Linked DNA regions of Rattus norvegicus. The protein of the gene in region 2 purifies or fractionates together with the protein of the main gene of each other region. This does not show direct contact. Links are inferred from orthologs where the notes say so. Each region holds a gene or a part of one and is shown on either strand. Other genes may lie near its edges. The genes, in order: Mapk14 and Ptprr.

Region 1 (4,439 bases), on a different chromosome or scaffold from region 2:
TTCCAGAGGTCCTGAGTTCAATTCCCAGTGACCACATGGTGGCTCACAACCATCTGTAAGGGAATCCAATACCATCTTCTGGTCTGTCTGAAGACAGTGTACTCATATGTAACACATACACAAATCTTTAAAAAAAAAAATCCCTGGGGGCTGGAGAGATGGCTCAGTGGTTGAGAGCACTGTCTGCTCTTCCAGAGGTACTGAGTTCAATTCCCAGCAACCACATGGTGGCTCACAACCATCTATAATCAGGTCTGGTGCCCTCTTCTGGCCTGCAGGTGCATACATGCAGGCAGAAAGCTGTATGATGTATACATAATAAATAAATAAATGTTAAAAATTTAAAAAAAAAATGTCTGTGTCTCTGGAAGACAGGCAAGGAACTGACAGACTAGAAGGCAGGGCTGAAAGCAGGGTTTTTTCTTTTTTGTTTTGTTTTTTTTTGCTGCAGACCTCTTTGACCCTTATTTCAAGCGACCTGCTTTGTGCTGTGCACTGCTGCAGTGTAAGGCCAGGACTGTGCCATGGTTACATCACTAGGCCAGCACTACCTATGTTCAAGAAACTGTTTGGTAAGGGCTGGGGATTTAGCTCAGTGGTAGAGCGCTTACCTAGGAAGCGCAAGGCCCTGGGTTCGGTCCCCAGCTCCGAAAAAAAGAACCAAAAAAAAAAAAAAGAAACTGTTTGGTAGAAGTCTATCTCATTGGGAGGCTGTGCTCAATCCCATTGCAAGAAAGTAACAGCACTAGAGGAAGTGGTGTTGGTTTCACTGTGGCAAGTCACTGTAAAGCTGGCTCTTCTGCCAGGGCAGCAGTGGCCCTAGGAAACCCTGCAAGTTCCCTCTCCCAGAAGCCCTGAGTTCTGCTCCATCCTTCCCAAGCATCCAAATGGGGACAAAAGCCTGATGCTGTAACAGTGAGCAATGAAGACTGGAGATACTGAGGGAGCTGGTGAGTACTAGAGAAACAAACCAATCACAAACACGGGATGTAAATTATTGACATCCCCTTTAAAATGCAAACTGCCAGTCTGTAAACTTGGGGGAAAGAGGTCAGGGCTGGTGCTATCAGCAGCACAGCCTAGGCAGCTCCAACGAGCAAACGCAATATGATCTGTTGCCGGACATGGTTGCACAATCGCAATTACCAGGAAGATTCTACCAAACAGGAAATTCACGATGTGACTTTAAGTAACACAGGATTCATACTTAAAGATTAACACATCCAGAAGCCTAGAATTTGTTCCAAAGGGGGGGAAAAAAAACATTTCACAGGCTCTTTCAGGGAAACGTGAATATAAATCACTAAAACGCAGAAGAGTCTAGTCTGTTGAGTCTGGTCTTTACTTTCAGATAGGGAGGTCTAAACTGACACTGAGTCCCAATAAATGAGACTATATGAATCCTTGAAAGTCCCTGACATTTCTGGAGTGGACCTTTGACTGTATAAATTTAATCTGAAACCTGCTCCCAGGGCCTTGTGTGGTAGCAAATGCCTTTATTCTCAGCGCTGGCAGGAGACAAAATTTGTTGAGTTCCAGGCCAGGCTTTGGTCTAGCCACTGAGGCTCAGGCCAGACAGGGCCATCCATAGTGAGACTCTGTCTCAAACGAACTCAAACAAAAAGCCGAAGTGTTAATGAAAGCTGAAAGGCATCGTTTTCTGCGGCCAGGTTCTCCCGAAAAACCCCCATGTGCCTCGGTGCTTACAAGCTTAAAGCCCCCTGCAAATCTTCTAAGGGGCTTAAAGAAAGAAAAGCATCCCAATTAAAAACCATTTACAACTCCAGCACTCGGTCCCACCTTTTTGATCTTTGAGGGGCGCCCAACAGATCAGAACCACTCTGGCTCCGTATGGAAAACTGGTTTTGTCAAACAATACTGAACTGAGCAGCGCTGTGTGACTAAGCTGAGAGCTGGAGCGTCCTTGCAGGCACTGCCACCCTCCCTCCCCGAAAAGGAAATACGCTTTCAACCGAATCGGAAACACACCACGGCAAGCTGGCACCCCGCGGTCCCCGAGATAAAGTCGGTATTATTTTAAGCCCTTCGGGGTGCTGCTAATTCAGGTGCGAATCCCAAAAGAACGTTTCCCGATTCTGGGTTTTTCGACCGAAGCTTGCAAAAATGGTTAAATGGGAGGGAAAAACTGAGAAAGAGAAAAAAAAATTCCGGGAAAGGGAGCGCTTTTTCTTGCAAGTTTCGTTCAGGTGACCGCAGTCCCCGGGTCAGGCTTTGACCTACTGCTCCTCGCCGGAGCTGCGCCCAGCTCGCCCGCTCCCCGGGGCAGGGCTCCTGCGTGCCAAGTGGCGGTACCCGGAGGCAGGGTCCAGAGGCCGCACGGCTGCAGAGGGACCCCCGGGAGGAACGATCTTGCGAGCATGGAGAGCACAGGGTGGAGCCCCATCACACCGCGCCCACGGCTGACCCGATCCCGCACACGGTTCCCCACCCACCTGAGTGTGCAGGGCGAGGGGTGCAGGACACGTCCCGCTCCAACTGCCCCCTGCACCCCCAAGACACGCCCGCAGGAGAATTCCTGCCGCTGGGCGCATCGCTGAGCTGTGGGGACAGGCCTGGCGCTCAGGCATGCAGGGCCACCCTGCTTGCTCCACCACGTTCCCTCCCACCCCCGCCCCCAACCCCAAGCCCGGCGACACTCACCACACCGAGCCGTAGGCTCCCGAGCCCACCGGGGACAGGTTCTGGTATCGCTCGGGCACCTCCCAGACGGTCTTGTTCAGCTCCTGCCGGTAGAACGTGGGCCTCTCCTGCGACATCTTCCAGCGGCGGCAGCGCGGCGACGAGGTGGCCGAGCGAGGGCCCCTGCCTGCAGCCGCACGCTCTCCTCTGCGCCCTCTCGCTCGCCCGCGGCAGACCCGACCCCGCGCCCGCGCAGGTGTGGAGGCTGCGACCCACGGCTCCTGTCAGCCGCGGCGGCACCTACGAGCCTCGGCAACGAGCGGGAGCCGGCTGCACGGTTCGACGCAGCTCCCGCCGCGGTCCCCTTGCAGCCGCTCCCTGGGGAGCGCACGCCGACGCTGCGCGACAGCCGCTCGCGCTCTAGCGCCCGCTCGGGCTCCAGTGGCCGCGATCTCCCCCCTCTCCCCGCAGGCAGCGGCCGGGGAGGCTCTAGCAGGACTCTCGCGAGAACAGCTCCGCGAGCCGAGATCTTACCCAATATGGAACCTGCCCGTGGGGCGGGGGTGCTCGAGAAGAGCGCGCGGGACGGGAAGATCTCGCGAGAAGAGAGACACGGCTCCGGGAGCTGAGGCAGGAACTCTAGGGGAGACTCTGCTCCCGGGGGGCGCCGAGGGTGGGGGCGGACCGCAGCGTAGGCCGCGCGCGCCTCTCTGTGGTCGGACCGGCGAATGCCCGGCGCCGTGGCGGAAAACCACTGGGACGGCGTCGGGGGGGGGAAAGAGAGCCAAGCGGTCTTTGAGCTCCGAGCCACCTGCTCACCGGAGCCGGCGATTTCCAAGAAAGATTTGCAAGAGCAGACTGGCCCTGTCCAGAAAGCTGTTGCGTTCCCATCCGCTCAAGGACGCGTGGCTTATCTCGGGACGCTGATGAAACCTGTCCCCCTCCCCACCCAGGCAAACATTAACCCGGTCTCAAAGCCCAGGCTCTCCCTCCCGCCGGACGCTCCTAGCAGCTTCTAAATGTCCTCACCAGAAGAACCACCGTGGAAGGTGTAGGAGGAGGTTCCAGGGACCCACTAGGGAGTCCGATGCACAAGGTCAGAGGTGGACGTCAGGAATGGCCACTTTGAGGCTGAGACCTGCGTTTGCAAGGCCCTGGGTTCGATACCCATGACTGGAAGGGAAACACACTCTCTCTCTCTCTCTCTCTCTCTCTCTCTCTCTGCAGGTAGGTCATTCCATTTCAGGAAAGTTTCTCATTTATTTTACTTATTTAGATGTACACATCCTGTAATGCCAGCGTTTGGAAAGACCAGGAGACCCGTCTCATGTATTTGATTTTATTTATTTACTGAATTATTTAGATTTATACAGCCTGTGATTCTAGCATCTGGAAAGACCAAGAGACCCTTCTCATATATTTGATGTATTTATTTAGATTTACGTAGCCTGTAATTCCAGCGTTTGGAAAGACCAGGAGACCAGCCTCTGCTATATAGTGAGTAGTTAAGAGACCTGCCTGGGCTGTTATGAGACCATATCTGGAACACCCCAAAGCCCATGACTCCGGTTCGAGACCGACTCCTGCCAATTTAGAACCATCCAAAATTTAGAAATTTAAAGGAAAAATTGGGAGAATTTTAAGAACTTAAATTGAGGGAGCTGGAGAGATGGCTCGGTGGTTAAGAGCACTGACTGCTCTTCCAGAGGTCCTGAGTTCAATTCCCAACAACCACATGGTGGCTCACAACCATCTGTAATGAGATCTGATGCCCTCTTCTGGTGTGCCTGAAGACGGCT
Region 2 (4,407 bases):
TGAAAGTAATTTCCAGCCCTATCATTAGAGACATGGCTATGCCCCAGGCACCAATTCCCAGCACAGCTGAGAACACTTACAGCCCATCCCATTATTTAATTTACCCCATTTGTGGAGCATCCTAAGATACCATCATTTGTGCCGCCATAAAGTGGTTGCTGGCAACCTGGGTATGACTGATATCAGGCAATTAGCTTTTCATCCGGGCAGTTGAGGTGCACAGGTGTCACTGTCCTTTCTAAAAATAAAGTCAGCCTCTGTCCCTTGAATGTGGCTCTCTTTATGAGAGATAAACTCAGATATTCAACAAGTAAAAGGCTTCGAGGCTTCTTGATCTGTGCTCTCCTAGCCACTTATTTTCTTATTACCTAAATCTGTGGGAGCATAGATCAAGAAAGCTATATTTATCTGAGTTCTGATGAAAAGCCCAAACAGTGCTATTAGATAACCGCGATGCATTTTAATCTGATGACAGCTTCTGACCCACAAATTGCTGTTGAAAATTAAAATGAACCCAAAACAAAACTGGCAAGATGACAATTACAACATCAGACCCACAATCTGCTTTGAAAAAATACCATTCCAGAGCACCGTATTACATACAAAAAATAATACAAATTAATGCCACTGAAATCTGAAATATATAGCAAATCACCTGTTGCCTTATGAAACTAAAATTGGCTGGGTAATCTTATTTTTAATCTTTTCTGCAAGTTAAGAGGCCAAAGTGTAGAGAATAGATTTGCTTTGACCTTTGTAATACATGTTTTGGCAAAGCTCCAGGAATCATGGAGGGCTGCAGACTTCTAGGTTTCACCTCTGGTGGGCAGACGTCCTCTCTTTCCCTTATCCCCAGGGTTCATCCATAATAAATTAGAAACCTTTTCTCCAGACCTATAATAAAGTCTGTGTATAATTGTAAGCTTATAACTCCCTGGCATGCATTAATCATAACTGTCAACATTTGTGTATGCATACTTTTTTAAAGAATAATTACATCGATGTGTTTTATCAGATAACTAATTACTTAACTTGGTAGCAATGAAAACTTTTTTTGGCAGTGGTTACTTTTGTCAATTGTACCACTAAATAGTATTGGACATAAAGCAAAAACAGCATCTATGTAATCGTCATATACTTTAACATTTAAATAATTGTATGTGGCTGAGAAGTGATTCATTACAGTTGTTTGCAAATAATTTAATAACCAAGTCATAGCTTCTTCTCCCACTGGTATTCAAGATACCAGAGAACCACTGAAGACTCCACAATGTAATATTGTAATTATAATAATTAACATACATCCTTAATTATAGCTTTATTGTTCCTATACATCGTCTGTTTCTAAATGCATAATGCATTTAAATCGCAATAGCTAGGACAGAAAAGTACTACATTTCACTCCCATTATTGCATACAGGGAAAAAAAGCACTCAGGCTTTTGGAACACTACCGCAAAGATTGCAGTTTCCCAGCTAGTGTGTGTGTGTGTGTGTGTGTGTGTGTGTGTGTGTGTGTGTGTGTGTGTGTTTATGGTCGCAGTAACACAATGCACTCCCACTCGGTGTACTTAGAGAAATGAATGTGTGTGAAAGAAACTCAAAGAAAAGGTCTGCGTTTGCTACAGGGCTACTGCTTGGACAACTGCGGTCACGGCAGGGTTCCTCAAACCTCTCTGCCATGTTTTATTTTGGTTCACATGTGTGAAAATCATACAGGATGCAGTCCAGCAAGCTTATCCACTGTGTTAGAGGAGCCAGGTGATGCTGGATATAAAATTCCTAGGCACTTTATCAGGTTTGCATCCCTAGAACTAGATACTGATTCTTGTGTCCAACCTATTTTTATGTGACTGCACTCCTAGCTATCTTCCATCGAATTTCCCCCTGGGGAGACAGTGATAAACCCTAGGCTTGTAAGTGTGGTTGGGTTTTTCTATTCTGACTGCGGATACTGACCGTGGTGCTGAAATAGAGAAGAGCCTCCCGTTTGAAACCTTTCCTTACTCTTATTGGTTCAGAAAATCCGAGTGACAAGAGCAGGGTCCAAAGCAGCCTGGGGCAGCATTGTTAATAAACCATGCATTTGGCTCTTAGGGGCGGAGATGTAGACCATCAGGTTACAGACAGAGCCCCGTGAGCGCTCACTAAACTGGGAGAGCTTATGGATGTAGCCGCTGCAGTAGAAAGGACTCCATCCAGCAGGATGTCTCATCTCTTTTCCTGTAAAATGTGCAACCAAGTGCAAAGCCTAGAAGCGCAAGCAGGAAAGCTCGATGGAGGGGAAAGCAAATCTATATACACATTTAAAATGTTCACTCTTCGTTATGCAAGATAAAGAAAAAGGAAAGGCTGAATTTAGCCTAAGTTTTCAGCCCCAGCCTTCCAACAGGTGCACTCTCTCACCCCTCAGAGACTATACCAAACCTTCTTCTGCTAGGTAAGCTTCCCCTGGAGTCCTTAAGCATGTGCTGTTTCCCATCTCATCCTCAGCTTCAGCTCTGAACCCCCGCAAGCCCTTACCTGCAGCGTGAAGATTAAGAAGCAGGCACAGTGCAGGGAAACCGACCGCTCTCCTCATAGTGTGTGCATTGAGGGGCGGGGGAGAAACTCCACCGCAATCCCACTCCAGGCAAAGTGCTATTTGAGAGAAACACTGCCAAGAGTCCTTTGATCCCGAGGCATCCGATGACAGGGTCCTCCGCTGGGGTTCACAGAGCAGTCTGTGGCGTGCCTACAGAACCGAGCACTGGCTTCGTCTCCCTAAGGGATGGGGAGACGGGAGAGTAGGATGCTGCGGGAGATGGGGACTCGAGGTTGGTGGGTGTAAAGCGCTCAGAGGAGGTGAGTGTTTGGCCTTCCTGAAGCCCGCAGTCGGTGGTGACAGTGGGGTGGACTCTTGTGCCAGCTTCCAAGCCAGGCAGCGCCTCTGCTGCCTGTGCAGCTAGCAGCAGCCCGATACACCGAGGCACTGAGCATGCCCAGCCCCGGCCCTGGCTAGGGAGTTTCAAATCGAAATTCCACCTCTCCGGGTCTTAGCTGAGGCTGCGAGGGGAACGAGCTCCACGAGAGGGAGGAGGGGCTGGAGGCTAGCGTTAGGGACCCGCGCGTTCCTCCTGAATCTGGGCGTGGGGAGGAGTGGAGTGGGGCGGGAAGAGGCGGGGCCAGGACCACAGAGACCCAAGGAGGGAAGTGGAGGGAGCCACTCATCTGGTTCCTTCCTCGCATTTTGATTCACGCGTGGGGACTCACCTCACTGTTGCAACTAAATGTTTGCGGGCCGACCAACTTCCCAGTATGTTCCACCCTACTGAAGTATAGGCAAGCAGTTAGTCCTGGCCTGCTTGGGCAAGTGTTCTCACTAACAGCCTGCTGTGTAAAGCTAACTGGCTATTCTGAGGGCGCCCCCTACTTGCCAATTAGCTTACCCCAGGCTTCTTCCAATCTTTGTACTTCCATTGGATTCAAGCCCTAAGTCTATGACTGTAGTGATTGAAAATAAGGAGGCCATACTTACAGGGTAGGGAAGTACGCCCATGTAATTTGAAGGAAAGGAATGGTCTTTGGTAGTTTATGGAAATAGTTATCTAAGGTTCTATTATTTAATTAAAAAGTGAATATACTTGGTTATTTTGCTTGCATGCATGTCTGTTCATCAAGCCTGTGCCTCATGCCCTTGGAGGTCTAAAGCGGTTATTGAAAGCCTAGAGCTGAAGTTAGGCATGTTGCAAGCTGCCATGGCCTTCTGGGAAAAGAAGCAGTGCTCTTAACAGCTGAACCACTCCGGCCTTTTTATCTTAACTCTACTTCTGAGCTCTAGCCCTGTATCTTTAACGAGGACCCCACGGTGTGCAGAATATATGTACTTTTACTCTCTTTATCTAAGTTGGTAGGATGGAGATCCTTACCAATCTAGTGACTAATTACTCTAAGCCAAAATGTCCCTCAGCGAGGCTCCCTTCAAGACTGTTCATCCTTATGCTTCTGTCCGCAGGTTTCCCTGCTGCCTTTTGGCAACGGACCTCAGTCAGAACACGGCCACACAAGAGCTTACATAGGTCTAAACTTGCTCTCACGTTTCCAGAAAGCTCTGGGCTAACCTGAGATTATAATGTTCTTTCTCCTCCCCGGTTTTTGAGCACTGACATATATATATATGTATATGTATATGTATGTGTATGTGTATGTGTATGTGTATGTGTATGTGTATGTGTATGTGTATATGTATATGTATGTGTATATGTATATACTATATGTGTGTATGTACATATATATGTATATATTTTTTTCTGAAATGGTTCATTTATCTGTGACGCATATTTCACCAACTGCAGGCTCCTTGAGAAGCTCTGAATTTTGCATTAACTTAAATTGAATAAAGTCGTGCTGGCCAAATCAGAGGTAGTAA

The links.
Region 1: the proteins of Ptprr (region 2) and Mapk14 purify together in Homo sapiens (affinity purification with mass spectrometry; 4 studies listed by BioGRID and IntAct, counting the BioPlex papers as one, with this or other methods). This does not show direct contact. The link is inferred for Rattus norvegicus from reciprocal best matches to the Homo sapiens genes PTPRR and MAPK14.

What each region holds. Positions count from the first base shown.
Region 1 is NC_086038.1:6,750,017-6,754,455, reverse strand, and holds the start of Mapk14 (mitogen-activated protein kinase 14), read right to left. Parts: upstream 3,098-4,439; 5' UTR 2,778-3,097; coding exon 2,662-2,777; intron 1-2,661. UniProt on the Homo sapiens protein: Serine/threonine kinase which acts as an essential component of the MAP kinase signal transduction pathway.
Region 2 is NC_086025.1:53,547,298-53,551,704, reverse strand, and holds the start of Ptprr (receptor-type tyrosine-protein phosphatase R isoform 1 precursor), read right to left. Parts: upstream 3,064-4,407; 5' UTR 2,581-3,063; coding exon 2,523-2,580; intron 1-2,522. UniProt on the Homo sapiens protein: Sequesters mitogen-activated protein kinases (MAPKs) such as MAPK1, MAPK3 and MAPK14 in the cytoplasm in an inactive form.